Mytilus edulis: one gene and its partner. The protein of the gene in region 1 interacts with the protein of each later gene in a pairwise test. Links are inferred from orthologs where the notes say so. Each region holds a gene or a part of one and is shown on either strand. Other genes may lie near its edges. The genes, in order: mothers against decapentaplegic homolog 4-like and LIM domain transcription factor LMO4.1-like.

Region 1 (16,708 bases):
ACCTCACATATAGAGTTCAAATGGTTACTGTATCAGTTTCTCACTTGGAATTTTTCATGGTGAGTCCTGGACTCATCACTTTTAGAATTGGTGAGTCCAAGTAGATTTTGAGTCCAGGAAGCATGTAATTTTTTGTGTGTTTGTATGATAAAATACAGTGTATAACTATATGTATACTTATTATATCTTGGTTTCACTCTACACATTCATTGATGTAATTACCTGCATGCTGTATGGTTAATCCTGACAAATCTAAAAATAGAAAAAAACATGATAGTCTAAGTTTTAACAAAATGCAAAAAAAACAACAGATAAAATTCTGTAAATTCAGAAATTACCAAAAAATTATTGTTTTAAAATATCAATTGTTTATATCATATTATGTACTAAAAAAAGTGAGTTAAGAAGAACAGTACATGAATTTAAAAACTAACTTTAATATAATAGTCTTTATGTTTATCTGTACATGTTACCATTTTATTTTTAGTTCTTTTTTTTGTACATAAATAAGGCTGTTAGTTTTCTCCTTTGAATTGTTTTACATTGTCATTTCAGGGTCTTTTAAAGCTGACTATGCCGTATGGGCTTTGCTTATTGTTGAAGGTCGTACGGTGACCTATAGTTGTTAATTTCTGTATTATTTTGGTCTCTTGTGGAGAGTTGTCATACCACATCTTCATTTTTTATATCTATAATTATTGATAACCAACATGACAAAGACTTTGTAATAAAGGTTATCAGATAAGATTTCTAGGAAATTTCAGATAATATAAAGCTTGCAAGTTAAGAAGTTTTCATGATAATACACTGACAGAATGGAAAACCCATTGTATATTTTTAGCTATATAAATGTTGTTTTTCTTAAACATAGTAGCTCTTATTGCTGCTTAGAATTTTCTCTCTTTTTCTAGAACCTTGATTTGAAAGTAACTGTCAAAATCAAACAGAAAGAAGACCTGTGTTGAACCTCATATTTACCTATCCCAGGGGAAACAACTCTCTCATAATGATAAGGATTAACACACACGCTATCCTGCTTCAGGTCAAAAGCATACTGACAGTATTTGACATGCTTCAGTTCATTTTTATGCAAATCAGGCCACCGCCAAATACGCGCATAAATCACATGAGGGAAACCTTTCCTTCCGGCCACCTGTAAAAATACAAAAACATGGTAAGAATAAGCACATTTTTGTTTTACAAATCATTAGGGCTATTCCATTAAAATGTATGTGGGAGGGTAGGAAGGGACTTTCAAAATATCCCTACAACCAAGAACCATTTTTTTGGATAATTTGACGAAACATGCGTAATGGTAACAGATGCACACTGAAAAAAAACATAGCCCACATTCAATATTTTAACTTCCCTTCCTAACCTCCAACATACATTTTAATGGAAAAGCCCATATGTTGTCTTTCATGGATCCCAGGGGAGTAGAGACTACCCTTTGATCATCAATAAAAATGTTTCTCAAGATTGTAAATGTTTTAACCAAAACAAAGTCAGGAACATGCCAGTTGTTATCTTATAGTTCATATCAATGTGTGTTGCATTGTTGTTGGGTTATTTTTGTTGCACTTCAGTGTCGCTGTTGCTTTGTTGTTTTCATTTTATAGTTGATGTTTTTCCCTTGGTTTGAGTTTGTTACCCAGATTTCTTTTCTCTCATTCGATTATATGATCTTTGAACAGCTGTTTACATGGTCTACTACTGTTGCCTTTATTCAACGTAAGCATTCAATCATTAACATTAATTCAATTTTCAGTTTCTTGAATTACAGAATAACACCCCCATTCAAAAATCATGGATCCATCCCTAATCATTCATTCTTTTCAGATTCTCTGTGCCAGGTTGTGTTATATTCTCCCAGTGGCAGATCCAGGGGGGGGGACCCTTCCGGGGGTTGGAACCCCCTTTTTTTTGGCCGATCAATGCATTTGAATGGGAGCATATAGTTGGAACCCCCCCCCCCCCCCCTTACTCTGGGTTGGGAACCCCCCCTTTATAAAATGGCTGGATCTGCGCCTGTCTCCTGTGCATGAATTGTAAATCTGTGGGATTATTCCTGACTAGTATGGAAAAAAAACACACAAAAAGACATAGAAAATTAGTATAGACTGTACAGACAATTTTAATTATATGTAACACATATAAATATAAAAAGTTAAAGCATTCTTTCACCTGATTTTTGGTGCAGCTGGTGTTGCTCATTCTATTATTTAATTATTTTTTTGTGAAGTGTTTTGTGAATTTTGTGTGTATTCTCATCTCCATTTGAAAATGCTGTTTATATATATTTTTTATCTCCTGAATTTAAAGTATGAGACGTCATTATGTGGAGAGTTTTGTATCATTCATGTCATTGGCATTCAAACCATTTATCTTATTTTTTACTATCATAAAGATTAAGATTCTATAATGGAAAATTGAGAATGGAAATGGGGAATGTGTCAAAGAGACAACAACCCGACCATAGAGCAGACAACAGCAGAAGGTCACCTACAGGTCTTCAATGCAGCGAGAAATTCCCGCACCAAAAGGCGTCCTTCAGCTGGCCCCTAAACAAATATATATACTAGTTCAGTGATAATGAATGCCATACTAAAGTCCAAATTGTACACAAGAAACTAAAATTAATCCACGCTGTAAGCGCTGAAGGCAGTTAACCAAAAACCAAGACAACCGTAATTATGAAAGCTGTGGCAAAGTTGACTCAACATTAAACATTCATATATAGTACATTTATGTTTATCTAATGATTTATTTATTAAGGCAAATAATTTATATGTTATCAAGATTTCAAAAGCAATGCATATAGCAATGTATATTTTTTATGGTGAGTCTGCAGTGGTACAAGTTCCCAATGAGTGCAGTTGTTCTACTTGGTAGTTAACCTTGGTTTTTTGGGAAAAAAATTGGTTGCTTATATAGGGAATCACTGAAGCGTATCTGGGAGCGGGCCCATCTTAGGTCAGTCAGAGGGCCCCCACTTATGAAAATTTCTGGATCCCCCAATGGGGGTAGGGTGATCCTAGGGACTTCTCCTACATTTCATTGTATTTGTTATATTGTCCCATACATAAATATATATGGTTTAGGGGTGGGGATCTCATTGGTTTCCAAGTTCTCAAACAGGAGGGGTAGGGTGATCCCAGGGACTCCCCCTATATTTTATTTGGTTTGTTATATTGTCCCATACATGAGTATATATGGTTTAGGGGTGAGGATCTTGATCTTAGGTCAATCAGTGGGCCCTCACTTATGAAAATTTCTGGATCCCCCACTGGGGGTAGGGTGACCCTAGGGACTTCCCCTACATTTGATTTAATTAGTTATATTGGCCCATATATGAATATATATTGTTTTGGTGTGGGGATCTCGACCGTTTCCAAGTTCTCAAACAGGAGGGTTGGGGTGACCACAGGGACTACCCCTATATTTCATTTGATTTGTTATATTGTCCCATACATGAGTATATATGGTTTAGGGGTGAAGATCTTGACCATTTCTAAGTCTCAAACAGGAGGGTGTACAGTGACCCAAGGGACTCCCCTATCTTTCATTTGAATTGTTATATTGTCCCATACATGAATATATATGGTTAAGGGGTGGGATGTTATATTGTCCCATACATGAATATATATGGTTTAGGGTGAGGATCTCGACCATTTTTAAATTCTAAAACAGGAGGGTTGGGTGACCCCCAGCGACTCTTCCTATATCTCATTGATTTTTCATATTGTCACAAACATGAATATATATGGTTAAGGGGTGTGGATCTCGACCGTTTCCAAGTTCTCAAACAGGAGGGGGGTGGGTAACTCCAGGGACTCCCCCTATATTTCATTTTATTTATTATATTGTCCTTTACTTGAATATATGCAGGGGCGGATTCAGTCAGAGGGGGGCGGACGTGCACCGCCCTTAAATTTGCAAAGCATGGGTTGTTCTCAGCTTAATAAAGAATTTTCCGATAATTTTACCTCAAATTTTTTAGCCTCACTCTGCTCGGAGAAAATTTATGTTTGCGCCCCTCCTAACCTAAAATCCTGGATCTGTTCCTCATATGGTTTAGGGGTGGGGAGCTCGACCGTTTCCAAGTTATTAAACAGGAAGGGGTAGAGTGGCCCAAAGGATGCCACCTATATATCTTATGATTTACTTACATTCAGGTATATATAATATAGTTGCATTATTTGTGAAAATAAAGAAAGAAACTTTCAGCTACTTTAATTGACCCTTCAAAATTGAGGGAAAAAAATAATCCTTCGAAATTGCAGTAATATGTTTACACTTTTTAAAAAAGCATCTCACATGCATTATCATCATTTATGACTGATTTAGACTGTGAACATGAACATGTATATTCTTAGATATACTATTCCCAGGTGCTTTTTCTTTCTTTTACATATATCTTTTGATTTACAATTCAAGTGTTTATATTCATTTACCATGCATAGATGTATTTTTTCACCTGTTTGGATTTATTTTGTAATTGATCGCCAAACCCGGAATTACCCTTATCCACTTCCGGAATCGGATCCGATATTGTAAAATTTTGTCTTCACGGCCGCCATTGTTATGTGTTTACAATGTTGTTTTCGTCAATCAGATACGATTTTACTCGAATTTATACAATATTTGTCGGCGATTTTCTGTATAAATCTAGCGGTTGAACAAAATGAACATCGCTGTTATGAATAATGACAAAAATAAGTTTTTAGCTCGTTCAATTGGAGACTGGTGAACATGGTGAAAAGGTTTGCAAAGTTAATTCTTATTTTCTTTCAAGTGGAAGGCGACTACGTCGGGCGTACCTAGAAACTAACTATCCTAGTCGAAATTCCGCTTGCAAAAGTGGAAGGTCGCGGACCTCGGACCACCGCTAATTTGCACACCTGCCTCCAAATTAAAAAGATACGAAAATTTCTTTTTCTAATTTGAAATTGCCGCAAACAGCACGAACAGTTGAACTTATTATATAATAGACTACTGACGTATTGATGACAAACAATATTCCTACGACTTTTGCCATTTGGGAAATCTAAACTGCTTGTCTTAAGATATTTTCGGCGATTAAATATTTCATACAATTGTTCTTTGACATCTGGCCAAAAGCACAAGTCATAATGAACTACACAAGGATTCTTGATAAGCACTACTTCCTATGTGTAACTTCAAAACTTTTAGATAAATCGACGATCATTTAAGGTTTTTCTAGTCATATTTTTTGTAATCCAGAATAAAAAGTATTAAAAAAGTGTTCAATTAGTTATATATAACATAGTACTAGTAGCAAGCTAGATAATGACAATGGCAAGTATTTCAGCATTTATTGGGTAGAACACAAATCTAGGGTGCTCGCATAATGCAGCTTAACTGCATAAAAATAATACAAGACTAACAAAGGCCAGAGGCTCCTGACTTGGGACAGGCGCAAAAATGTGGTGGGGTTAAACATGTTTATGAGATCTTAACCCTCCCCTTATACCTCTAGCCAATGCAGAAAAGTAAACACATAAAAATACACACATTAAAATTCAGTTCAAGAGAAGTTCAAGTCTGATGTCAGAAGATGTAACTAAAGAAAATAAACAAAATGACAATAATACATAAATAACCTTTTTCATGTACATGTATATGTACAAATGTATGTTTACAAATTTTATACCTGAAGTCTCCCATCTAATGTCCGCTGGATTGTCACACATTTAGAAGGATGTGCACCATTGGTTGTAATAGCTGTGATCAAACTGTCCAATTCATCCCTTTTCTCTTTCAGTTTTTTCACCAAGCTTTCAATGGCCCGTTTGGCAAAGCTTTCACTCTCTCCTCCTTGCCTATGGCACATTAGGCTGTGAACAATACTTAAACAGGCATCGGCTGATGTTGGAGCCTGGGACCCCATGGTGGTAATGGGGTTTAACTATGTTCCTTAGTCTGAAAGTTATAAAAGAAAGTTAGATTTGGTAATTTTTCTAACTCTACATGATTTTTAGGCATGAATTTAATGCTGAAAAAAAATAGGGTACAATGTAGGAACATTTTTGTACCAAAGAAAGGCAAATATTTTTTTCAACTGATTTCTTAGCAAGATAACAGTACACTGGCTCTGATTTTAAGAGAATTATTATAAATAATAAATGAAAAAGCTTTACCAAGAGGCAGTATATTTATTATTCAAAGGGACAAACATAAGCTCTATTCATGTATGGCACATTCGGCTGTGAACAATACTAAAACAGGCATCAGCTGATGTTGGAGCCTAGGACCCCATGGGGTTTATCGATGTTCCTTAGTCTGAAAGTTATAAAAGAAAATCAGAAGCTGTCATTTGTTTTAAATTTATGCCTCACAAATATCACATTTGTTTTTTTATTGTTTTTCGTTCATTATTTTGTGTATATAAATCAGGCTGTTAGTTTTCTTATTTGAATTGTTTTACAGTTGTCATTTCAGGGCTTTCATGATAGAATATGGTATGGGTTTACCTAGTGTTGAAAGCAGTATGGTCACTATGGTCACCTACAGGTATAATTGTGATGTCAAAATTTTTATGGAACTTTTGTGATGTTTGGTATTGGTGGACAAATACATGTAGCATTACAGGGTTAAAACTTAAAGACTTTGGCAATGATAGTCCACAGCTTAAATGTTGTAGCCAACATAGATAGTCATATATAAGAAAAGCCGAAATTTGAGTAGCCCAAACCAAATTTTAGGGGCCATTGCTGCTAATTTCATAACCTGAGCAATATTTAAGGTGTATTATACATGTAGATTGAAGCCAACGATAAAATATAGAAAGGACCTCTAGAGTTATTGGTCCATAACACTGGGATAGCAGAAGCATGTCAGAAATCTCATGCATTTAAAAGTTGTCCACTACTTCTACAAATACGCTGCTACCATCAATAAGTTAATTATTTTGCCACTTTTGGATGCACATTTAAAATTTAGACAAGAAATAAGTATTAGTTGATTTGAATTTTTGCTATACACATGATACATGTACATCATATATACAGTGAATTTAAAAACATCTTGGATTTGTTCTAGTTCATCTTATGTAGGGAAGTCTTGAAGCATTCAAGACTACCTGCATTGGTGGCAGTATGAGGTAGGGCAATGAAGTCTGGTATCGTTCTTGGGTAAAAAGATTTCTTCCGCACTCGGTCCTACAAGATGGTACTAAGTATCATGACTGTAAAGGGTTACTGTCTTATCAATTGGTTTTACATGTAACAGAAAAATACAGACATATAATTAAATAACAATAAAACTTTTAAAAGTTTAAAACATGTTTGTTTATTTTTGATAATTCATATTTCTTTTCAATTACCACTTGTTCCTCAAATATTTTTTTAATAAATTTTTATTCCTTTGAATCCATCAATATTTATTTTAATTAATTTATTTTTTTATACAATTCTTTATTTATACTTTCAGAATAATCAACAAGCAGATAATAATTTCCAAATAAACTATGCATCAAATCTATGCCATGTGCATGCTTTGTTTACACCTGAACAAGTAAGAACAAAGAACAGCAGACTTAATACAAAAATTAAAAAATAAAAAAAAATATGGCCTCGTATGTTAATCATGTCCCCACTCCCAGCATACTATGTCATAGCCAGACAGACTGGTGCCAGCTTCTGGAGGCCATTTGCCGGCTCCATTTTACTTAATCAATGAAACTTCAGGTGTGGAAATTATCTCCTCATTAACATCAGGTTATTATTGATTACTTACCCGAGCAACGATCAATTGTTAAGTCATCATTTTTAATTCATGCTTAATTTATTTATTTTTTCATGGCGCGAGTAAAATCAAAATAAACTAATACGCCTGCGCTGATGTCGTTAAGTTTACTTCCGTTTTAATTTGTTGTTATTTGAAGGGGCACCTTGCAGGGGAAATGGGGGGCATCATTTTCATCGTATATTTTTAATCGCTTCCTCGAATTATTCAAACCAAACCATTTACAAATATTCGCTGATGTCGTTAAGTTTACTTCCGTTTTAAATTGTTTATTCGAAGGGGCACATTGCAGAGAGAAAGGGGGCCATTATTTTTTTTATATTTATAATCAATTCCTCCAATGGTTCAAACCAAAAGTTAAACATGTACAAATATTTTTAAAGTCATTTATCATACACAATACAAAAATAGCATTGCAATATTAAAAGCAAAAGTATAAAGAATAAAGTCATAAAATATACCAAACTGACATTAAACAGTTAAAGGATCTTAAAGGAGCATGCACTTGCTACGATATATACATGATATATACGATGATAGTATTAAAAAAAACAATTAACACTAAAATATGTGATTTTTTTCAGTTTTGTTCAATCACTAATGAAAGTTAAATAGTGAAATAATATTTCGCTTCTACCAGTATGGTTCAAATTGGCAAAATAATAAGATACATGATATATACGATGATAGTATTAAAAAAAACAATTAACACTAAAATATGTGATTTTTTTTCAGTTTTGTTCAATCACTAAAGAAATATTGACTGATTCACTTGCAAGTATAACTCGATAATTCGACCTTATTGAATCGTTGTATTAATAGGAACTTCAATTTAACCCTTAACTAATTTTCTAATTTTTAAGGGTTCCGTCGAACCCAGTGTCTCGCCTACTTTTGCTGGTAGTCGCAAGTTCAACAAAAAATTCGAAAAACTGTTTTCCTCTAGATATTTTAGTCTATCTTTTAATTGTAAGAGTTCTGTTCAAGTTTGGTAAAAATCAAGGAAATCTATATATATATAGTTTGTGAATCTAATAAATGTTTTTAAAACTTTAACTGCAGACTATGTAATGTAAAATGGAAGAAAAACTAAGTCCATTTTTAAGTAAAGTATGGAAAAACATTTTTAACAAGAACAAAATTTTAACCAAATTTCCTTCTAGATACTAGCATTTGATCATAAACAAGTTTCTGTTCAAGTTTGGTACAAATCCAGGATAGTTTAAGAAAGTATTAAAATTTTAAAAACATTAACCACAGAGTGAATGTAATGTTTCCTGGCAGAAAAACTAAGTCTATCTATAAGTAAAATACGGAATTCAAAATAGGATGATTTTTTTTACAGAATTTACTTTTGGATACTGTGTTATGAATATTAACAAAGTCTATCCACAAGTTCGGTAGAAATCCAGGATAGTTTAAGAAAGTTATTAAAATTTCAAAAACCGCTAACCATGCACACCGTGAATATGTGACTCGACGACGACAACGCCGACGACGGAATGTAGGTTCGCTTCATGTTTCGCTTTTTCGACAGTTGTCGAAGGCTCGACAAAGAGAACAGAAGACAAACAATAGAAAACAAAACACAACATAGAGAACTATAACGCATCTAGCAACACGAACCCAACCAAAACTTAGGTGATCTCAGCTTCTCCGGAAGGGTAATTTAGCAGATCCTATTCCACATGTGGCAGCCGTCGTGTTGCTCATGTTAATACAAACACAGTAAGAATTAATACGGAGGGTGACCTTCTTGAAAAGGGTACGGGATTGTAGTAACGATAGTATGAACTATCATATATTCAGAGTCCGCCGCCCGTTAATTGATATATTAACGGAAAAAATAGTAAGGTGGGATGTGAAGGCAAATCATAACCACCATCGACCATGGTTGAAAAGGAGGTACTATTTATTCTTGCTAGTCGTTTTTAGTAAATTATAAGCGGATTTAGTTTAAACAATATTTTATTTTTCATAAACTGCACGAAATATAATTATACAAAATAGAGATACTGGGCAGTGGCATTCGAAAACAAGAAAAAATCCGTCTCCCTTAAATTAAAAAAAAATGACAAAATTAGGAACAAACTGTATAAGAAACTCGTATAATATAATTTTCAAGCGGATTAAGGGCAGTGGCGGATCCAGAAATATTTATAAGTGGGGGCCCACTGACTGCCTAAGAGGGGGGGCCGCTCCAGTCACGCTTCAGTGATTCCCTATATAAGCAACCAAACATTTTCTCAAAAAAGGGGGGTTCCCCTGCCCTCCCCCTAAATCCGTCTCTGTATGGGATGTGATAATGTAGCCCACTACTTATGGAGCCGGCTACATATGAGGTTAATGCATAGGCCATTTACATATTTACATGTCCTTCTTCTAAAATTGCCTGCTTTACGACCCCCTCCCCCCCCCCCCACACACACACTATTTTCTGAGTCCAGGATATGCATCCGCAAGTATATATAATATAAATACTTTCAAAAAGTCTTCATTAAGGCTATATACATGATATATATGGTTTATATAATGTTCCAAAGTGTCGCAAATTCATTTGATCAAGCCCTACTTTGGTATACATGACCTTTCATGACGTACGAGTACATAGACATATCTATATTATACTACAATGTATAATGTATATTTTTAATAAAGCCTTACCAAATTAAAGCCAGTCTGTTACCGCAGCCATTCAATTACTCAGTACAAGAATGTAAAATTCAAATCCAATCTCATTGTTCCTCTTCAAGAGCAATAGTTTAAAAATTGATAGGGAAGTACTGATATCTGAATAAATGATATTTTCGCACATTTAGCAGATTTTTTATCACACATCCGATTAATCCCATGAATCTTTGCACGTGACAAAATAAATCTCGTTAAAAAAAAAAACGTTGAAAATATATGAAAGTCTACATGGGTTAACAGGATAGCGGATAATGGCTGGCAAAATCTACAGAAAAAAATCATGGACCAAGATATTAGGAAAAGAGAAAAAAGGGGCCAAAAAATAAAGAAATGAAAAAAGTGTAATAATATAAAGAGTAGAGAAAAATGGTCAATGTGTATTAGAATATAGAAAAATTACATAAAAATTACAAGACTAAAGAAATGAAGATAAGAGTGTTTTTCCTGATTACAAATCTTTGAATTTTTCGAAAAACTAAGGATTTTCTCATCCCAGGCATAAATTACCTTAACCGTATTTGGCACAACTTTTTGGAATTTTGGATCTTCAATGCTCTTCAACTTTGTACTTGTTTGGCTTTTTAAATATTTTGATATGATCGTCACTGATGAGTCTTATGTAGACGAAACGCGCGTCTGGCGTACTAAATTATAATCCTGGTACCTTTGATAACTATATATCCGATTGCACGTGTTCAAATAATCAGGATTTTTCCAAATTAAAAAAACAACAACACCAGAATCAAACTTGACGTTGATCTACGCAACAATAGCTATAGGTCACACTACTACCGCCTGAAACGATGAACAAACCCCATACTGCATGTTCATTAAGCTTATACTAACCCTTGTTATCAAGTATATGTATGGTCGTATGTGTTTTGTAGTTTAAACGTGAGAGTTGTGTACCTTTGTATAATGATGCATATTTATCATGTGATGTAATCTGTCTCTTTGAAGTAAACGTGCCATGGCAATATATGTGTTTTTATTGCTCTAAGCAGATATAACTGTAGCGGGCATGGGGAGGTAAACATATGTACCCTCATGTACGTAATATGGTGGAGGACCCTGGCACCCGGTCCTTATCCTTGGACAGTTAACAATTGTGTGGAAACACAACATCAGAGTAAACTGTAAAAACAAAACAGTTGCATAGGTTTTGACACGGTAGAGATCATAAATCACGAAACACAACCATGAACACAAAACGAATTTTGTTGTATCCAGCTGCATTCTATTTTTGCCTCTCTAAAGTCAGGGGCAGTAATTCACTGTTTGCGTTTGATTTCTGCATGCCATATATATATATCGACGTATTATAAATCGGGCCGACGGGTTTCTTATTTGCTTTCATTACACAAGTTATTGTCCTTAAACAAGAGTTATGTTTGTTTTAATTTTTTTGTGGACCCGCTTTGGACCTTAATCCCTAAACAGTCAAGAAAATCATCAATGCCGATCTTCCTTTTGTGGTATGGAACCTTAATTGTGGTACGATGTCATAAAATCAGTACACTTATCCACAAGTTATGTTATCAGGAATTCAAACCAAGCAATTCATGTCAGGCTTATTTGTGAGGAAAATACCACATGTCATGAAGGTATGACAGCGCTTAGCAATACTTGCATTGGGACTTTGATGATCGTTGCTTCAAATATCAGTTTGTGCACCCTGAGACTGCTATATCAGTGTTCTATGTGATCTACCGATGCAGACTTAATAATTAGCGGTTTTGTACTAACATGAGCAACAAGACAGTTTTTGATGTGGTTCCTGTTACTCAGTCTCAGTTAGTTTAATATGTTGTGTTTTGTGTATTGTATGTTTTTCTTTCTTTTTAGCAATGTGGAATGAATGCATGTCCCTTTGGTATCCTTTGTCTCTCATTTTATGTACATGTGTGTATATATATTCCAGCTACACGACGTGCAGAGAGAACAATATGCAGCAGTAGTTTGACTTTGGAATTTTTAAAATGGCGGCCGTTACCATGGAAACAGCAAAAACACAAAAAATATCAAAATGCTCCAAATTCATTGGAATTTAAAACAGAAATATCTGTTGTCATGCAAAAATCTGCATTCACTGATGGACAATTTCGAAATGGCTGCTGTTAAGTGTCAATTTGCAGACCAGGGTGACATCCGGCCTCTATTGCAATGGCAATTCTAGTTTCTATTTGTTATTCTTGCCTTTGTGGGACATTATATAAAGATGACAGCCAGAAACATGCACTTCAACTTCGTACAACACCTTTAGATTACCATATCCGATTGTCTGGATGGGGGGGGGGGGGGGTCTGTTATTCTGTAAACATTTAATTTTCACCCCTTTTTTCTCTTATCTTCAAAAAATTAACCCCTTTTTCTCTAATTTTAAAAAAATTAGTCCACGCATTTCTCTAATCTTCATTTTTTGCCCGTTATTCTCTAATCTTCATTTTCTAAGGGCATTATTCTTTAATCATTTAACCCCATTCAAAACCTCATATCCGCCGTTGAAATGCTCAGTAATAAATTTTTAAACAGTTTGAAAATGAACAGAAAATGCGGATTTTATCTCTCCGTGAAGGGTTTCTTTTTTAGAGGTTTCGGTCTGGTTTAATTTTGTAAGGAGACCAGATAATGAGATTGTATCAGCTGAAAATTATTAGACCGTTGATCATGAACTCGACTAAACATAAACATTAAACATTGTCCTACATACAAAGTAAGGAAATAAAAGAACACAATCCCCAAAGCGTAAAACTGCCATAGTCTTGTCTTGTATGAGGATCCTGTCTTTCAAAGGCACACCTCTGTCTCTGGTTTCAAGTTCAGAATTAAAAAGGGTGTGTTTTTTACTATTTAACCAGAGACAGTCTATACTTATACATGTAGTACTAATAGACTGATTAACACCCTTGTGATTTCGTGTTTTTAAACATGTTAAACCTGGGATTTCAGGATTTTGTGTTTTTAAGTCCGAGATTTCGGGATCAGGACCCCTCCTACCCCCCCTCATATATAGCACAGGCACTTGTTTCTATCCATACGAAGGTTGACTATCCATATAAATAGAAGCTTCTATTTATATGGATAGTCGACCTTCGTATGGATAGAAACAAGTGCCTGTGATATATAGTCCGAATAATTATGGCGTCTGGCAAGGCTATTATAATTTTTTTCTGTGACGCCATGCCCTTCCCAGAAAAAAAAATAGCCTTGTCAGACGTCATTACTATACACCTTATTGCTATTTGTCCGCCATTACTGGATATCACACAGGTTCCCGTAAAATTTTGATGTCACAATACAAAATATCTGACGCCACAATGGAAAAGTGATTGTTGTATGCGTCAAAAGTTCAAGCGGCCGGGTCAGCCGGGATTAGCGATAAGGTGTATTTGGACTAGCCTGTATTATACTATAGGCTCTATCACACAGGCACTTGTTTCTATCCATACGAAGGTCGACTATCCATATAAATAGTTATATGGATAGTCAACCTTCGTATGGATAGAAACAAGTGCCTGTGCTCTATCATCCACAAAAATATTTGTGATAAGTTACAGAGCAATAGTAGTTTTAAGACTAAATCCAAAATGTTCAAAAGCAACACAACCTTTTTTTACCCATCAACATATTTAATACACAGAATCTTTTTAGTTCAAATGTTTCTAATGATTGTGGCATCACTAAATAGATTTGATAAATACATGAGGGGGGATAGGACCTTTATCGGGACTCCGGGATCGGGTGTTTTTAAGCTCGGGATTGACCCTTTCAGGATCCAGGAATTCTTTTTCTCGGATTTCGGGACCTCAGGATTTCGTATTTTTAAGCCCAGGATTTCGGGAATTCGTGTTTTTAAGCCCGGGATTTCGGGATCAGGACCCCTCCTATCCCCCCTCATACATGTATACAATTGTGACTTGGAATGGAGAGTTGTCTTATTGGCACTGATGTCACATCTTCCTATATCTATATACATGTAATATTGTTAATTTTATATTGTAAGGTGCACAGATCTGTCATTAAACCTTCACCTCATTTTTTAAAGTTTATCATGTTTATAGGCAATTTTAATTTTCATATAGTAGTTAGCACAAAAATTAGGAGACATGATATTATTGCTAATGCCAGTAATGGTAGAATTCTGGGTCATCTTAATTATAATCTATAGAATTTTCAATAATTTGTCTAAATGCAGTTTTAATCGTGCTTTTTTTCAAAAATATAATAACATTTAAAGTATGGGTCACTGAACTTTGTTTCACACTACAGGTTGTGCAAAATTGTCACGTATAAAAGATTATGCATGGAAAATACAATTTCGTGTGATAAAAATAAAACAAAACCATAGAATCTAAAGATAAAATATGAAAATATAGCTCTTATATCATGCTTTCAGATAAGTTCTTAATTTGAATAATTTGCTCATTATTCTGTATTCTGTAAACTCCACTTGCCTATTCCTCATTAAATGTATGCACACTATAAATCATGTATAGGTATGCAACATATATATATATACCATTGTATAAAATGTATCATACAAAAGATTTAACAACACAAAAGAAAATATTCTTATCACATTCAAAACTTACAAAGCACAAAATCATAGAAAGTGTTCATGAGCTGCACTCAGATCTGTTAATTGTGTCTTTTTGTGTCGGGATGTATAAGTACCCGGCCACGTCCACTTGTATTTTTTGTCTATCTGATGAGTTAAGCCTTTTTCAACTGATTTTTATAGTTCGTTCTTATGTTGTACTGTTATACCACTGTCCCAGGTTAGGGGGAGGGTTGGGATCCCGCTAACATGTTTAACCCCGCCACATTATTTATGTATGTGCCTGTCCCAATTCAGGAGCCTGTAATTCAGTGGTTGTCGTTTGTTTATGTGTTACATATTTGTTTTTAGTTCATATTTTTACATAAATAAGGTCGTTAGTTTTCTCGTTTGAATTGTTTTACATTGTCTTATCGGGGCCTTTTATAGCTGACTATGCGTTATGGGCTTTGCTCATTGTTGAAGGCCGTACAGTGACCTATAGTTGTTAATGTTTGTGTCATTTTGGTCTTTTGTGAATAGTTGTCTCATTGGCAATCATACCACATCTTCTTTTTTATATTGAAGGTGTATGAACTATCAAAAGCAGTATAAAAAAATTTGCAACCCTGATTACACATAAATAACTAATACTGTACAGTTTTAACATCTTTTCATTGCTTTTACACATTGATTTTTCTTTTATAGGACTTGACTATTGCCATGGAGTATGGAGTTAATCAAGAAAAGATGTAGTAGACCGGTTATTTGTCTCGCCTGTCTCAGTCTGATAATTACATACTTAGTGTTGTCATGGTTACAAACAGTGCCCTCTATACTACATATTCATTTTGTGAGACAGATTTGGGACAAGGAATATTCTAGATGTCAGGTTCATATCAACAGCATTGCTAATTTGCCGATGACTAAACAACAGCCTGTTTATTTAACTGTAGCACTCTCAGGTCGTCTTGGCAACTGGTTATTTGCATATGCATCACTCGTTGGAATTGCTAGGAAAAATAGAGCGCTATTATACATCAGTCCAGAATCCGTCAAAAAAGTTTCTTTAGGAAATATTTTTAATATAAAAAGTGTGCGAGCAGTTAATGCATTATGTAGGCAACCAATATATGAAGATTTACCATGTGCATATGATAAGAAAATGGAGTCACTTCCTGTTTCGAACATAACAATTCATGGCTATTTGCAATCTTGGAAATATTTCAAACATGTTGAAAAGCAAGTTCGAGAAGAATTTACATTCAAAAAGACCATCATGTCAAATGCTGAACAAATATTCCGTCAGAATGTTCAGAATAATATTTCTTTTCAGACAACGTGTATACATGTTAGAAGAACTGACATGATGATTGCATCATCGGTAAAAATAGGTTTTAAATCAGCTCCACTGGAATATTTTCATAATGCCATGAACCACATGCAACAAAAGTTCAACAATAAGGTCAAATTTCTCGTCATCTCCGACGATTACAAGTGGTGCTTGAAGAATTTAAAATTTCAAAATTCCGTTGTACTTCCAAGGAATACTCCCGGGATAGATCTAGCCTTATTGTCATTGTGTAATAGTTCCATTATTACTACTGGTACTTTTGGTTGGTGGGGAGCATGGTTGGCCAATGGTTATACAGTATATTATAAAAACTACCCAGAACCTGGATCCAGATTGGACCGGGAAACAGTCAAGGAGGA
Region 2 (17,069 bases), on another chromosome or scaffold:
ATTGAATGCTGTAATCATATAGCTATAAATGAAATTAGTATTGAAAGGGCAGATCCGTTTAAATGAGTTCGGGGAGGAAAATTAAACTAAACGACAAATTACAGCAATTTCAATGATCACCAAGTCATATTATGCTGTGCGGGATTAATAAAAGTTAATTTCATTTACTGGAAGATAGAAATTACTTAGCCACAATAAAATTCATTAGATAATGGAACTAAAATGATTTTCAATTAGGAAATGAAACATTCGACATTTTAAAATATGGTGATATTAAATCCTCGTCACATAAATCCAATTTGAAAGCTTTTTATTTGATTGTTGTTGGTTATCGGTTTCATACTTTTATATTTCTAAATAATTCATCTTTTTGGTTTACGTGATATGGAATACTAAGATCAAAGGGTACGCAACTTAGGATAAACCTGGGATAGTAGCTAACTGTTTCATCAGAGATTGTGTCAGGATCCTATGCTAGGTAAGGATTCAATTTGGATCTGTCGGATTCCCTCCCCTGTCATGCATGCAGCCAATTTATCGACGGAAATGTCCAGTCAGAAGGGAACATCAAAAGACATTGAACTTACTCTGAATGGAACATAAACTATTGTTTTCTTATCTCGAATAAACAGGAAAGAAAATTATATACAATTATTTCGAATACATCAATAAAATTGATATTTATATTTCAAATGCTTATTCTTTTATCCTCCAGTATTGTTCCGATTCAAAGATAAATCAACGTGCAATATAAACAAGACATAACTTCCGAAGCATAAATATGTTTTATGACAAATATATTATACAGACTATAATAAACATCATTATGATCTAGACAACAGCTGTTTTGATGTGATTTTCAAAGAAAAAGACATCAAGAATCTGACATGGATATGAGTATTCTCCCTTGATGGATCAGAGCGCTTTTGATGGATTGTTTAACACCTGTCTATTAACAGACGGAAAATATATCATCCGCCAATCGATCCACTGATCACTGGAATACTGATTGATTTTACGACTTGTAGTAGTATTGGGTTATAAAATGTTTACAACATCAAAAGAATATGGTATTTCATGTTATCAAAATAGTGTACAACATAAACATGATGGGTATAGTTGCTGTACCCTAGCTGGTAAAATCTGGAACTGTATTCAGCCCAAAAAGTTTATTATTCTACTTCATAAAGAAAATGGTCGATCGATTTGCGGTTTTTGATAAGGAGAACATAAGGAGAAGTTTCTTGAAGAGGTGACAACAATTTAATCCCAGGTCAAGTCTACTAACTGTGGGGGTGTATGCAAGCTGTATCACGAGAACAATTTGAATATTTCTTGTAAAGTTTTGTGTGTTCTATAGGGACCCTGTTTTGGTGTGAGCTCAGGGTGTGAGAACAACAATGGGAACAACATAAAATTGTACATGACTGCTGCATGAACGGAAGTATCATGTTAGGGTGTCACTAGTGGAGCAAGAACAGATAACCCATCCAGAGCACTTGACTTTACGTCCTTTAATTTGGCAGGAAGTGTAGTTGCAAACCTAGGGGTTGTTCCGGGGATGGGAACCCCTTTTTATCATCAATGCTTTTGAATAAGGATATATGGTTGAAACTCCCCTTAATAAAATGGCTGGATCCGATCCTGAAGTGATTAATTAACTACTAGTATATTGCTTCTTATGACCATGGTGTTAACTCTTTCTCAGATTCTTTTTTCATTCGGCATATAGGGTCTTCTTACTTTGTTGGCTGATACTCAATAAATTAACAAAAACTTCATAATCACACCCGAGCTTCGTCATTCATACACAGGGATTTACATTAATAATTTTATTCAATTATTGAACCAAAAACATATCTACAAGCAGTTTCCGGTTGTCTCTGAGCCGATTGTAGTAAGAAAAAGTCGAGAATCGAGATGAATTCAAACAGAAAGATTTTAAAGGCAGAGAAAACTGGGCACCTCACAATCAGCATGATTTTTATCAAATTACAATAGAAATTCTTCAAAACTCCAGCCTGAAAATAAGGCGTAGGTATGTAGGTATACTTTGATTCACTCATGGAACCGCGATGTCGCAGGTGAGGATCATAGGTTGAATATGACCTTTAAATATGAAATAATGCATGTGCGTTGTAACAACCTATTGCATGAAAATATAGCAATGTGAAGAAATGGTGTTGTTGGTACAGAAATATAGAAATCTGTAAGTTGATTACTGAAATTGTACAAAAGTTTGCAATCAATCATTATTTACTAATTAAATGTCGAATTAGACATAAACTAATATCATGTGAAGAGTAAAATCTCTTTGAACCAGAGGTAAACGTTTTTATCATCTAAACAATACATTCTCGCTATTTACTATGTTGGAATTTTTAATCTTAAAAAAATTGTTCAATTTTACGCGTCGTGCTCCTGTTAATTAGAAAATACTTTTCTGATGAAAGACAACTGTGCGCATGGCAAATAGAGAGGGAACATCTGTTAATTTCGTTCTATTGTTTCCATTGTTTTTATCAGTGGTTTCTAAAACAAGACAGAAATCAGAGAAGGAGAATGTAGTTTTCTTTGCTAATTGTCGTTTTACGTAATTATTTATGTAGTACATCAACGTAAAAATTCTATGACACGTAATTATCTATGAAACACGTCAGGTAACAAAAGTCGACTTGTAATTCCTTTACAGCTTCATTACCAGATTAACGCGATCAAATGGAGGTAAGGAGTACTCGAACTGACAGAACAGAACAGAACTTGGTACCAATATAACACTTATGTCTCATTTACGACATGACGAGAATACAAAACAGGGTACCATTTTGAAATATACCATTTAATTTAACCCTAGCTGTTCGGTGTGAGCTAAGACTTCGTGTTGAAGACCGTACTTTGTCCTATACTGGTTTACTTCTACAAATTATGACTTGGATGGACAGTTATCTTATTGGCACTCATACCACATCTTATATCAATTCAAGGGAAGATCATGATACTATAACGGTACTAAATGCGTTAAAAAATCATTAATACGGTGTACTCGTTTACTAAAAGTACACTGGAGTTGACAATGTACATATATTATAAAAACTTTCGAAACAATAAATAGGCACATTACAGTATAGAAAATACTGTGCTTAGTACTATCACGATGTACATGCTCTTTCAAATTAAATTATATTTGTTTCTCTTTAATATATTTACCACGACATCTGTCCACCGTTAGTTATATTATTTGACATTCAATGTTAGATATATGGTGGATTATGATTTTTTTGTGATAATTTTATTGCCGTCATTGTCAACAACTCGTTCTGGGAACTTGACATTGCTTTTTATGAAAATTGACCCCTACAGCAATCTCAATAAAACTGTCAAGAACGTACATACTGTAACGCCGATATTAAAGTATAACAAATGTTTTAAGTAATTAATATTTGTAATATTCATGAGTGCACTAAAACAATAGATTGGTGTGGATGTTATCACATAGACATCAAATTGATTTCTGTTTTAATATTTTAGCTGAAGAATTATTAGAAAAACTGTTGGGAGATAATAATACATCGCATGGAATCTAAATTTGAAAGGGACGCACTATTTGTCGTTTTGAGAATTGGTTCGTTTCTCAAGTCGTTCGTGATATTAAGTCCATCCAAATTCGTGACTTCCACGACCAATGAAAAATAATAGTCTAGCCATTAGACTAGTGGCTTCGTATATACAACAGAAAAGTAAGCCATATGTTTTAGAGCTTATGGTAAGAATTTACCATGAACCGTCTTTCATTTATATGTATACTTATTCGGTTAATAATTAGATTTCACAACGAAGGCTTTATGTAATGGGAATAAAAAAATGCATTCCAAACTGAACATAGTCGTTTAGTTCGTATAGTTGAACTTCATTTTAGTCGGTGGTTATGAACTCGAAATGAAGCTATATACGTGTTCGAAATGAACCTAATGTTATTCCCTTTGAGAGACCTCGAGATATTTAAAGATGATTAAATTTAATATCTGCAGTCTGTTGTCAATTATAATTCATATTTTAAACGTAATATCATTATTGAATATAAATATAACATCGCGTGATCTGTCGTTTTTCATTCATCTACTTCAGATTGAAGAGTGGTATAAAGGGACGTTATCAATCAATTAATCAAAATTCTCACAATCAATTATTTATCTCTGATTTAACTAGTGATATATACTACTAGGGTAGATTTAATATCCTTCGCCAACAGCGAGACGAATGAAATAAATGCTACCGAAATTAATTAATTTCCCTCTTTTGAAATTATTTGTTCACGATTTGTCAGAGTTTTATTAAAAAGTTATTGGTCCCCGAGATATTAAAATACTTTATTAACAGTAAAGGAAATTACTTCTCATACGTACTCTGGAAATATCTTTCTGTTTTAGTGTCTTACTTCACGTCGATATGAACGGAGGCATTATTCTACGAAACATTTTCGGTTTGAATTACAGTTACTTGAAAGTTTGTCGAGATTGTTTAACGTTTGATAGACTTTTTAGACAGACTTCCCTTTGGGGGAGGTGGGTCATGGTCCCTACAACTTTTTTTAAAAGACTGTTAGACATCAGAGCAATCTCTGACTATGACAACAGCAAGTCCCAAAAACACTATCTGACGTCAAATAAGTCTCAGAATATTTGAAAGTAAACACGATTCAAGTTAAAAGACTACCGGGCATAATATCTAGGATTCATGGGGAATCGGTGGTCCACTGGTCTAACAAGTTTCTACTGTAATCACTAGCCGGTCAACACTGAGGTTGTGAGTTTGAACCCCGCTCGTGCAGATGCACTCGACTCCAATCTTAATTGACTAGGATTGTCAGTTTGGTCGATGGTTTCCTCCGGGCACTCCGGCTCCCCCCTCCAATAAAAACTGGCCGCTACGGAATGGCCAAAAAGCAGTGCTTAAAAGTGGTGTTAAAACACCAAGAATTAAAAAATCGAAGTTAAATCTAGGAGTCACCTTCGCTAGCCTATATGGTAACAACCCATGCCAAACAACGAAGATGTCTAGGATTACATATACCGAGGCATTATATATGTACTCACCAAACAATGACACACCATGATATTGGTACCCCAAAGATAGAGCAAGCCAGAGAAAGAGTTATTAAATTGATTGACGGATCGACACATGGACAACAAGAGCAAATTTTTAATGAAAATTCAACTTAATACTAAGTAACAGAGGAAGATTAAGGGGGTTGGAACTGGGGACACGGGTCCCCCTTTAGTGGGAGAAATTTGTATGATATTAGGACATCATCGAATGACGGGGTCCCCTCTAAGGCAGTTAATGACCCCCGTATACAAATTTCTGGATCCACCACTGAGTAAGTCCTACAAGGTGTACAAACCAGGATGAAAGACAGGAGATTAAATGTTAATTGATCATATCAATGTTTGGACATCAAAATGCATTTTCTTTAGTGATAAAGGATTCAATATATAAACATCCGCTAGTTCAAATGCGTCGTATTAAAAGAGGATTTCGAGTTTTAGTACATACCAAAGAAGGAAATAATAGATTTAACAAGTTAATTCTCTGCACATTTTGATAATACTGGAAAAGAGGTCTTAATATCCGAGACTGCATTCAAAAACGCAATACCGCCACGCAAAAGCAAATTGTAATTAATTTAAATTGCGAGATCAAGAAACTTCAAATAAACTAATTTTTCCTTCATTTTGATTGCTGAAATTAACCTTTGTTGATATTGGAAATTGGTTTTTAGTTTGTTGTTGACGAACAAATCCAATCTCGAAAATTAATTAAAATCGATCCTAAATGGAACACACGTTTTTCTTCTAATTATCTGGCCATTTATGTTTCTCACTACTTTAACTCTAACATGATAATTAAGTAGTCTGTTCAAATGTATTATCACGTAACTAAACCGACTTTTAGAGAGTCCATTATCATACACTTAGACTCTGCGAATACGACATCTGTCGAGAAGAAAAAAATCGTTTGTAATTTTTATTTTGATAGGGGCATCTAAAATCAATTTAACTTCATTAAAATGTACCTTATTCTACTTATCCAAACGGAACAGTAGTTAATTGAAAGGCTTTCTAGTCTGGTTCAAATGTGTCGTTTATCAGAGGCCGCAGACGTTTGTTAATTACTGTGTATTGCATGTAAAGCTAGTTAGTAACAACAGAAGTAAACAAACCATTTGTCTAATTATTCAGTTTGTACTGGGACTAATACATGTGTCTATTGGTCCCAGGTTTACACTGAGTTTATGGAATGCACGTACAAAAAGTTGAATTCTTTCCTACACTGCTCAAGTTCTTTTAGGTTATGTTTTTTCTCAAATTCAATAAAATATTTTGTTTTGTATACAACTTGATATCAACCAGATGACTTATTCACACATATCTTTTTTGTCCATCAACGTTTTCATTTTTTCATTAAGAACACCTGTGCTTTTCTTTTTTTGTTCCCAAATTTACTTTCTTGAATACAAACATTACCTAAAAATCAATATTAACAACTTAAATCTACACAAATCTCTTTTTCCAGATGATTTAATATTATCGCCTTTTTTCTTTTGACACATATATCAGATTTTAACAAATTTGTATAAGCTCGTTTAATATTTATTCTTCATTTCTCAACGTATAAAATGCTATTATTACCTTTATGAAAGGAACCAATTTACTTTTCATTAAGTTAAGCTTGGTAATAATAAAGTTTCGGATTGGTATTACTTGTGTTGTAATTGAACCCAATAATGAGTCTTAATTGACCAATTGTGCTTGCTAAACATGCATTTATCCTAGGTGCCCACAGTAAATAACTGATTTACTAATGAATTAGAAAGCTAATTTATTCTCTCGAGGTTTATAATTAGACTGGACAGACAAATGATTAAGAATAGCTCATATTCCAAACGATCAATTTAGTAAGATTCGTTAAGCTAACCACCTAACGAGGACAGAGAAGTTCGCGAGATATCCATATACCACGATCTTAAATGATCATACAGTAAAAATTGTAGATATACAAGCACAAAAAAATACTAACAAAGGTTTAGTATGCCTGAAAAAAAAATCTGTTATGCATAACACCATCAATTGGGAAAGAAGAAAGATATGGAACTGAATCCCTGTTATACATAATTCAAAAAGTATAGTTCTGAAAAATATCAAATATCTCTATTCTGGCTTTTTAATACAATTATAGGGGCGTATTTTGATAGAGATTACAGAGGACTGGCCACACCACTGGTAAACCACTGTCTATGGTTTTTTTAGTATACTATATAATACTAAGTATCTTCTTAATTATACTACTAAGAAAATTATCAAATACCCAAATGCGTGAGAGAAAAACTTCACGACGTAAACATTTTCCCACGAACCCTGTATTAAACTATTTAACATTTACACGATAATCTTTTTGTAAATACACATGGGTTCAATTTGTACCTACCGTAAGTAATCATTTTTACACAGTATCATCCCAGATCTGGTAAAACACGATCCTAATTGTTCTAAATTTGTCTGACAACAAGAGCACTTTAAACAACCTGTGTGCCAATATCTTTCCATCGCGTGTAGCAGGAATCGGTCCAAGATTCTGCCACCACAACCTGCACATGCCTTGCCATATGATGGGGATTCACCTGTCACGCTGTTGGCCAGGTTACCTATGTCCTGCATCACACCATTATTCATCATTGAAGAACTGTCTTCTGTACCTGTACAGAAAAAAAAAATTGAGTGAGTGTTGCTTGTATAATGTTCAATTACAATTGCTTCAGTCATGTTCGTCGAGCACAAATTGAAGCATCATACTACTAACTTCAGATTTGTGCTTTTAATGAAGAAGCCTTCTTTTCCTTTGCCTTGTTTAGAATGAAAAAACAACGCCTTTTATATCTCCTTCCAGAGAATGAAGCAATAATGGGACTGCCTTTTATAGCTGATTATGGAGTATGGGCTTTGCTCATTGTTGAAGGCTGTGCGAGGCAGTTCTCGTACTAATCACGTGTCCAAATTTTCGTAAAATTGAGCATCGGGCTTGTGGATTTAAAGGTTTATCGTGAAGACTTGTACGGTGATCTGTAGTTGTAAATTTCTGTATTGTTTGGTCTCTTGTGAAGAGTTATCTCATTGGCAATCATACCACATTTTATTTTTATCAAGAGATGGTACAAAGGGGGGCAATTAACCAGGTCAAACAAAGACAGAATCGTCGTCAGAGGCAAACAGTTACACTACGAAGAAAACTGACAATGAGCAACACAAACCCCACCAAACACCTGATTTGATCTGATGTGTTGGTTAGCAGTCCCCGCACCATTGGTGACCCTGTCGTCTGTTTATGGAATCAAGGTTGTATACCACATTTCCAGTATATTCAGAGTGCTCCAGTCACACCTATGTCGAGATATTGAATGATTTACTACTGCTTACCTTGCTATTTGAAATGTTAAATCTACTACCCAATTTTTATACACCAATGTTCTCGAGTGAAACTAATAATACAACTAATGAAGTAAATATACTCTTGTTTAACTTGGGATTGATCAATACACACATACAAAAATAAAAGATTAAATTATGAATAATTTACAGGATTATACCTGATTACAGAATGAGACTTGTTTACATGATTAATCCTGAAGTCCCTGCTCATTGCAAAAACTGAAAAGATACTATAAATAGATACAAGACCCGAAATGTTACTACATTTTCGAAAAACGGTTTGTGATTGTATGTCGTCTGTGTAGACCGTTATGCCTTACATGGAATAGGATATTCGAAATTAATCAAGGTTTCAATTTTATACATTTAAAATGACGTTTCATACGAGACTTGTTCAGTGAAAAGTGCACACATAGATTGTGTTTCTTAAGACATTTAGTCTTGATATGATAAACTATTTTAAGGATGATTTATCGTTCAGTGTGAAAAGATAAACAAAACTAAACGGAAGTAATGTGATAAAAACACGTGTTCAGCTTTATACTAACCATTTGTCATGATGAAGGTATATTCCGTCTGTTTTAGATATCGTCTGCTTCAATTACAAACAACAACAAAGAAATGTTTCAGTTAATAAAAAAATCCTTGAAAATGTATTTTTAAATTGTGTGCAGTCGTACACTATCAAATGTTCGTTGTCATAGTCCAATATGCGTCACTTAAATGGATGTATAGTCGGTCGGATTACATCAACAGCTTGAAATCAACAAACCAGCGTATACAAGAATCAAACATACACAATAATTTGTATTGTTTAACGTTCCTCAACAAACAACTTCATAATTCCTATAGCAGATTATTTTATGGTTGTGTGTTATGAATTACTCCGTATTTACGACTGGATCGTTTCTCATTTGTAGCTAACCAATCGGAACGCATGTTTCAATAGCATGAATGGAGAAATGATAACGTCGGCTCCGCCCAGTTTAATATTGACAGATTTAATTTTGTCAATATTATTAATGTTAATAATGATTGTTGCTTTAAAATAGGTAATTATGACTTGATTAAAAACGCGATGTTTATCTCGACTCTCTTGAAACCCATTTTTTATTAATTAGTTTTGTGTTATACTGGTCGGCTTATAGGAAGATCGTATTCAATTATTTTAATCAAAATAAAACTAGAGGAAATAATTAAAATTATCGGCTATTATAATAGGAACAGTAATAAAACGATTATTAAAACGCATTAGTGTCAAACTTTAGATAATTAAACTTCTCAAATGGATTTTTTTCTTTGACTGTTTAATTGAAATACCCACATACCTTAAAATGTTCTTCTAACCCGACAAATGTTAAACCAAAATGTATCTTTCAATATTAAATTATAGCAGACAATTTCATTTGTGGTCTTTTTTTGAATCTATATATTAAGATTTTTAAGAAATTGTTCTGTAAAACAAAAAAAAAACCCAAAAAACAAACAAAGATTCTTGTAAAATATCGAAGTTGACGACAGATGTTTGAAAAATATATATCTGTTTTATTTTTCAATCTCGACAACAAAATGAATTGTATAAATGTTATTACTTAATATATTGATCAATTATAACAATTCAAAACATAAAATGATTACGTATTTATGGATTGCAAGTAACTTTTGAGGATCCTAGATATCATTTTTTTCTTTACAAATTATAATCGTTTTACCGTTAGTTTTTTTTTATATCAATTATATACTAAAATATAGGACATTTTGAATTGCAGATAATCCGTTTAACGATAATTTTCTTTCAAACATCTGCTAATACCCGATTAACAAATGCAGCGAAAATTGTGTTAATTCTATAAGACAGTGTTGGACTCCTTGTACGCCTACAGACAGTTTGTACAAAGCAACATTTCTGTCCATGCCAAACTATAGTATTTAAAACTAAATCACGATTTGTATATCTTACCGAATTATTTTTTACTCGTTCTGAATATGCATGTATAAAGCTGACGACAGATTCAGTACTGCAGCACCGTTCGTTACGCTGAGAACAGCCAACATAGCTGGACAGGTGTTCAAAACTTGCGCATACAATAGGGATGATACATGTACGTGCCGTCATATCAATATGTTGATATTGCTGCGGATGTGTTCTTTCGATCATCGGAAGTCCAACAAACCCAGTGGTTCGGTACTTGCATGATTTAAATTTGTCTTTGCATTTTAAGTTAATAAATCATTGTATTTTAAGAAAACTAAGGAGCAACTAATCAAGGCAAAGTTTACCATTTTGGTTTTTATACTTTCAAACATTATATTTTTTCGTCTATACGAAAAATTAGTAAAAGCATAATTGTCAATTCCGTGATTTCACGGTCCTGTAATTAGAGATCCAGTTGCAAGAGTTGCGCCCCTTATAAATTTTTCATTGACAAAGTAGTGCCAGCAGAAAGAGCAATGTAACTAAATGTAATACGTAAAGGCGGTCAATTAAAATTTTTCGAAATTTTTAAAGATACATTTAATCAAGTTCTTTTTGTTCAAACGCCTATATATTACTCTCAACATATACAGCCAATTTTGTCCAGTGCACAGAAGGAAAACGGAAACAACTTGTGTTGATACTTGGTAATAACCGAATCAAATTGATAAGCAACACACGTCGCAAAATATAACTGTTTGGTTTTCTGTTGAAATTTTGGATAATGTAAATGAATCACCATTTTTCTATATATACAAATAAGCAGTCTAACGGCTAATTTTCCAATCTGTCTAAAAATTTTAATAAGCTCTGTTAATGTATTTATTAATTGTTGCTTGTTAAATGTCCAGTGTCAAATATTTCATTCAAATTCAACTATTTATAATAAAAAATTAAATCAATAGGTATGTTATAATCAATGTAGGTCGATCGGGATAAAAGGCGGTATATTTTGATAGCCACTGGAAAATAAGGGTGTGTTGGATTGGGTAAGAAATTTCCCTTGCACCAGACCATCTGCGAAACCAGCAGAATTGTTGCAAGAGTTCTTTACAGTGCAATGAGCTTAGCATTTACCTTATACTTAGGCATCAGAGTTATCGCCCAAACCCGAACTAGACCGTTTTTGTACTGCTATTGTACAATCCAAGATGGCAGTATACAGTGAATTCAATCTAATTAAAAACCGAGAGATCGGTTTTTAATTAGATTGCAGTGAATATACCTTAAAACAAATTTCATTTTCGGGCGTGATTATTAATTAGGACCCTTGCTTGAGATGTACTTTCGATTCGCGTTTGAGTTTAAAACTAGATATTGTGTTAAAAGTATACAACACTGGAGCTGTCGGCTTTTGTCTGTTACAAGTATTTCAAATAAGCATGTGGAAAACCAATGACGTGTGCACGTTGCCTTAGAGCAATATGGTGCTAAATCCTAGTGTTTTTTTAGCACATTTGTTATGAGTTTTGACTGCTGTCTCCATCTTTAAGGAAAGCAAATGAGTTTGCATCTCCGTCTCTAAGAGAATTTCTTTTTGAAAATCGGATTTGCAACTGAATCCTATCTTTTTCTCAGAATCCAAAGTATTCCTGTGTTTACAGCTGATTTTCTGAGACTCTATAACATCGAACAGCTGCAGGACTCGTGCAAATGTCTAGGGCATAATTTCAACTGAATCCTAAGCTATCTTTTACTCAGAATCAAAAGTATTCCTAGGATTATACAGATGATTTATCTTTGAGTTTCTATAATATCAGACAGCAGGACTCAATGTCAAATGTATAAATGCGCAATTTCACAAAGTCAGAATTTAACAGAAACCCTTCAGTGGTATTTTATAAGGCTGTGTTTTAATTGTTTGCTTTTTAACACCTTCCCCAGTAAATATCCCCTAATAAGTACAATCAAATTTATTTGTTGATCATTCTGTATAATTACTGTCGACCTGAAAGCAGTGTTTGCCACTGGAAGCCAGATTATCTAATGCATGTCATTCAATCTTTACGAAATTTCAGACAAATTTCAGACTTTTTCAAACACAAATGCATGATACCAGTTGCCGTGCGTTTCATGAATAACTTTCATATCAATAACGGTTCTCACTTAAGACAAAATGTTCATATATAACATTCAATTGTTGTTTGATAAATTATGATTAAAGAAAAAAACATACCATTCATATCCAATATGCGAATTTATAACAAAAACTTTCCAGATTTTTGCATGAATGCGGTTTCTCGGACTGAACGATAAACTAAATGTTTGTTTCTACTCTGTTTCTTCTGGTTTAAATTATTCTGGCTATTCCTGCATTAACAGGTTTCTACTGGCGTTTGACATTAACAAATAACAAAATAAATACAAATTAATCTGACATTTGCTTCTCTTTTGTTCTTGTCTTGATGACGACGATTTTGTCCAGTCGCGTCTTTCTGTTTACTAAAACTGTTTATAACACTTTGATTTTGATAAATATGTAATATTTTCATTATTTCATCTATTTAATTAATACAGAATGCCAATATCGCGAATTTATCAAACATTTGAAGGGACGCATGTCTTGACAAAACAACCATAAAGTTGTTACTTGCTATGATATTTGGTCCCTGGTTAAGAGTTGTCTCAGTGGTAATCATACCAAATCTTCTTATTTTTACATCGCGATGACCGATGTATTGTTGCCACAGAGATTTCTTCTTACGTGACTTTTTTTTTGACTGGTAACCAATCTATACATACACGGACGTTATCGAGTGCAAAATAGTATTACTTATCACTTGTTATAAATTCATTTCTTCAATGAATGCTAATAGAAATATTGTTTTAAGAACATAAATTTATAATATGAAAATATTTTGTCATTAGACATATATTTGAAAAACCTAATAATTACAGAAGAGAGTCAACCATGCACTTGCACTGCACTATTATTAGAATAGGAGAACAGAACGATAAACAAGTAGATGAAAAATATATATGCATGTAACTGTTATATACAAATATTAATATAATATATATCAACAAACCAGAGTATTCTGATTTGTATCACTACAATCATAGTTATTACGGCGAGGTTGACTTCCCTGTCATTTATTCATCATCCACGAACGAACTTGACTAAGAAAAATATATATCTCTGTACACTATTAGTAACCTCACTTTTAGGTATATGTGATTTACTTTCTGAGACAAGTGCTTCTGACCATCCACAAGAACTTGCAGCCATCCGATGTTCAGTACTTCAGTACTTTGATTATATTTAGTATATAATTAAGACACGGTATTTCGCACACTAGTTTTTGGGATACTTACGTCATCGAGCAAACATGTGTCAGGGTTGTTCTTCGTAATTTTAAATAACTTATTTCTAAATAGATTAACAAAGATAACTACGTCAATACCCCTTTATGGTAAATTTCTGATTCCGTTTATTAGAATAGAAAAACAAAGATGATGGAGTATCCATGCATGACACAAAATCAGTTCATGCCCATCACGAAAAAATACACACAAAAAGTAAAGAAATAGCACTTTTATTGCTGTTCTTCATCTCAAAACCACACAGTGAGGCCTTCAACACCAAAATAAAAAAAAACAAAAAAACTTTCACCTCACTTCAAGTCTAAGACGGCCCTTAGAACCGGCTTGAGGGGATTTTTTTATTGAAATTATTTGGATATTAGGTCTTTTAAACAAAATCCCTTTCACATTTTGACATACACTGTATATCTTTTTACAAAAGTAAGGATATGAAGTATGATTTCCAACTATTAAAAAAAACCCAAATTTGACAACATGAGCAACTCTTTAATTAAGAGACTATATAAACTATTTTTACATACAAATACAAGTAAACTACCTTGGGTATAAAAATATACATTTTCGCTTTATTAAATATCATTGCAGATGTTGGCAGTATAAACACACTCGTTAACAGGCAAATAGAAGCAATCATCCCCAGGTTTTGTTGGGATTCGTGTTGCTCAGTCGTTGTGTTTTGTGTTTTATTATTTGTCTTTTTTTTGGGCCATGGCGATGTCAGTTTATTTTGCCCCCACCCCTCGGGTATCTTTCACCTCTCCTAACAAAAGGTTACAGAACCGTCGCGCTTTTCTTGATGATGATAATTATTTTGCTCTTTTTCTCTTAATATCGTCAGTTTTGGACATTTATCCTTCAACTATTCATTTGACGTTTTCATAGAAAAAAGTTGTATATATTCAAGGTTGAACAACACTGTATTTCGAAATAAACTACTAGTACTAAAATAAGTATTGTTTTCAGAGAAATTCATGTAAATAAATAAAGCGGTTAAATTGTGCGGCGAATAGCTCTTTACTGTACGAGGATAGAATAAATCCTGTTTGCTATCATTGTTTCTTTGCTTCGGCGTACCTATATCCAGTGGCGATGCTTCACAGTATACTGCGCCGGAACATACCCCAAACGACGTTTTGTTTCATTAGACAAAGTATGATATTTCTGTCGGTTTTAGTTGAGAGCCTTGAACCACCTTAAACGGTTGATTTATTATAAATTTTGGCTTTTAAAATATCCACAAAAAATAAAACCCATCCCAAAACATGTATACACGAACAAAAACAAAACAACATAAGAATACATATACCACTTGTTAAAAAAGTGAAATTATGACAAAAACTCCCCAGAAGGTCTTTTCAAATACTGTATTCTCCAATAGAATGCTTGAATAAATTTATGCTGCTGCTTTTAAACTTGCGTTTAATTTTAATAAACCAATTGAAATAAAGAAAAAAAAACAGGTATATTGGGAGATTTCTTGACGTCAAACGACCTTCGTCATATATGTTTTTTTTTTCGCCTCTCCTTTGACACCATTTGCGAGTATGGTCTTGAGAAACGATGATATTCCGTCGAAAGTTGACGATAAATAGCTGACCATTGTTAAGAGAGAACCGTATCTCTTGCACGTAAAATACACCCTTGTAGATTTCTTTAAAGAACAGGCTAATGCCGCTACAAGGCAGCACTCGCACCCGCAAAGTGGAAAGGGATACATATAAGTTGTAATAACTTGAATTTCAATCCACACTATAAATAAATATGTTTAAACTAACGTTGTTTATCAAAAATTGAAAAAACTTCAAGAGCCACTTCCAGTGTCTCTGGTCGCTTGTGGAGAGTTGTCTCATTGGCATTCATACCACATTTTCATTTTCATGAACATGTTGGATACAATTTCAATTCGTGCGTTGGGTCAAATGGCCTCAGTGAGTGCGGACTTGGCTATGCATTTTCATACCTCAAATGCCACAAAAGACGGATGGGCAGATGGTTTGAGTGTTTCTTAATCGAAGAGAGTATCGGAAGTATTTATAAATCTCCAAGACGTCACTGCTGATCGGGAAAAATCTTTTATAACTTTAAATATATATCTTTTCATAAAAGATAATTTTCAAAATTCTTTGACTCCGATACGGAAAATGCTCCGCTGTTAAAGAAAACACTTATTTTAATAATTAGAGTTTTATCATTAAAAATGTGATATTTTGTCATATAACGTTGTGTGTGTGTCCTTTTGGTGTGTTACAATCTGTATTTGGAAAAATCCTTTACCTATATATAGCTTCAGGTGCTGTTTCAAAATAGAACATCGGGTTTGATCGGTGTATTCAGAAAAAAATACATCTCAAAGGCACCATATGAACTTTGCATTTATAAAAAGAGATTTGGGATACACATACTTGAGACAGCAACCCAATGACACAACATATGAACACATCTGTATATGCATGTTTATATAATCATATATGGTAGGTATTATGTTAAATAATAACAAACTGTTCTAGAAACTGAAACAACCCTGATGACCAACATCATTAGTACTAAAACAGATGAACCATGTCAAGTTTTTAATGATGCCTTATTTTTCGTCACCCAAATCATTTAAAAGTTGCTCAAATACAAATTGGATTTAAAACTACTAAAACACCACCAGAGATAAAATAATTAACACCGAGCTAGTGCATGATGCTTTCTTGTTGGGATAATGAGCTCCACGAAATCGTTAACACTGAGCCCTTTGGGTCTAATTGGCAATTAGATAGAGGAAAGAGGATTGACACGAAGTAATTAGTCCCTGCGCTGAAGAAATCATTTTGTTTACCTTAAATCTCATTTAATTGGTATAGTTTATAAAATTTTACATCATTAGTAACATTCCACAAGGTATCTGGTTTTAAGCTGTCAAATTAGCCAATTTATTGTAAAAAATCAACATGTAAGTAACATTTTCAAAACTGAAGAAATAATACATATTTTTTCTGTGCCGTTAAAAGTTTGAATTTTTTACCAATTAGTATTCCCTGTCAACTGTCTGTTACTCTGTATTTTTTTATGAAGCAAAAAATTACTGAATGAAAAACGATTAAAGTCTTTAATGAGATCATTATATTAAGGTACTGTATACAAATGTGGATACCGCCTTGCCAGAAAAACTATTAAAACAATATCTGGTAACCAAGCTAGACGTCCGAATGGCGTGTGCTACATACACTTAACATGTGATTGTTAATTATATGTAATGAATTGCATAGCTATTTATAAATTTTGTGTTATAAACTACGCAA

Evidence for each region.
Region 2: the proteins of mothers against decapentaplegic homolog 4-like (region 1) and LIM domain transcription factor LMO4.1-like interact in binary tests that used the Homo sapiens proteins (3 or more experiments, as listed by UniProt). The link is inferred for Mytilus edulis from reciprocal best matches to the Homo sapiens genes SMAD4 and LMO4.

The regions. Positions count from the first base shown.
Region 1 is NC_092354.1:20,858,614-20,875,321, forward strand, and holds the start of mothers against decapentaplegic homolog 4-like, read right to left. Parts: upstream 7,871-16,708; 5' UTR 7,759-7,870; intron 5,944-7,758; 5' UTR 5,912-5,943; coding exon 5,675-5,911; intron 1,154-5,674; coding exon 979-1,153; intron 253-978; coding exon 223-252; intron 1-222. Other genes in the region: galactoside 2-alpha-L-fucosyltransferase SEC1-like, read left to right, coding at 15,726-16,708. UniProt on the Homo sapiens protein: In muscle physiology, plays a central role in the balance between atrophy and hypertrophy. When recruited by MSTN, promotes atrophy response via phosphorylated SMAD2/4.
Region 2 is NC_092345.1:48,587,314-48,604,382, reverse strand, and holds the start of LIM domain transcription factor LMO4.1-like, read right to left. Parts: upstream 9,419-17,069; 5' UTR 9,042-9,418; coding exon 9,032-9,041; intron 8,662-9,031; exon of another isoform or gene 8,642-8,661; intron 7,754-8,641; coding exon 7,486-7,753; intron 1-7,485. UniProt on the Homo sapiens protein: Transcription cofactor. Plays a role in establishing motor neuron identity, in concert with MNX1, acting, at least in part, to disrupt LDB1-LHX3 complexes thereby negatively modulating interneuron genes in motor neurons.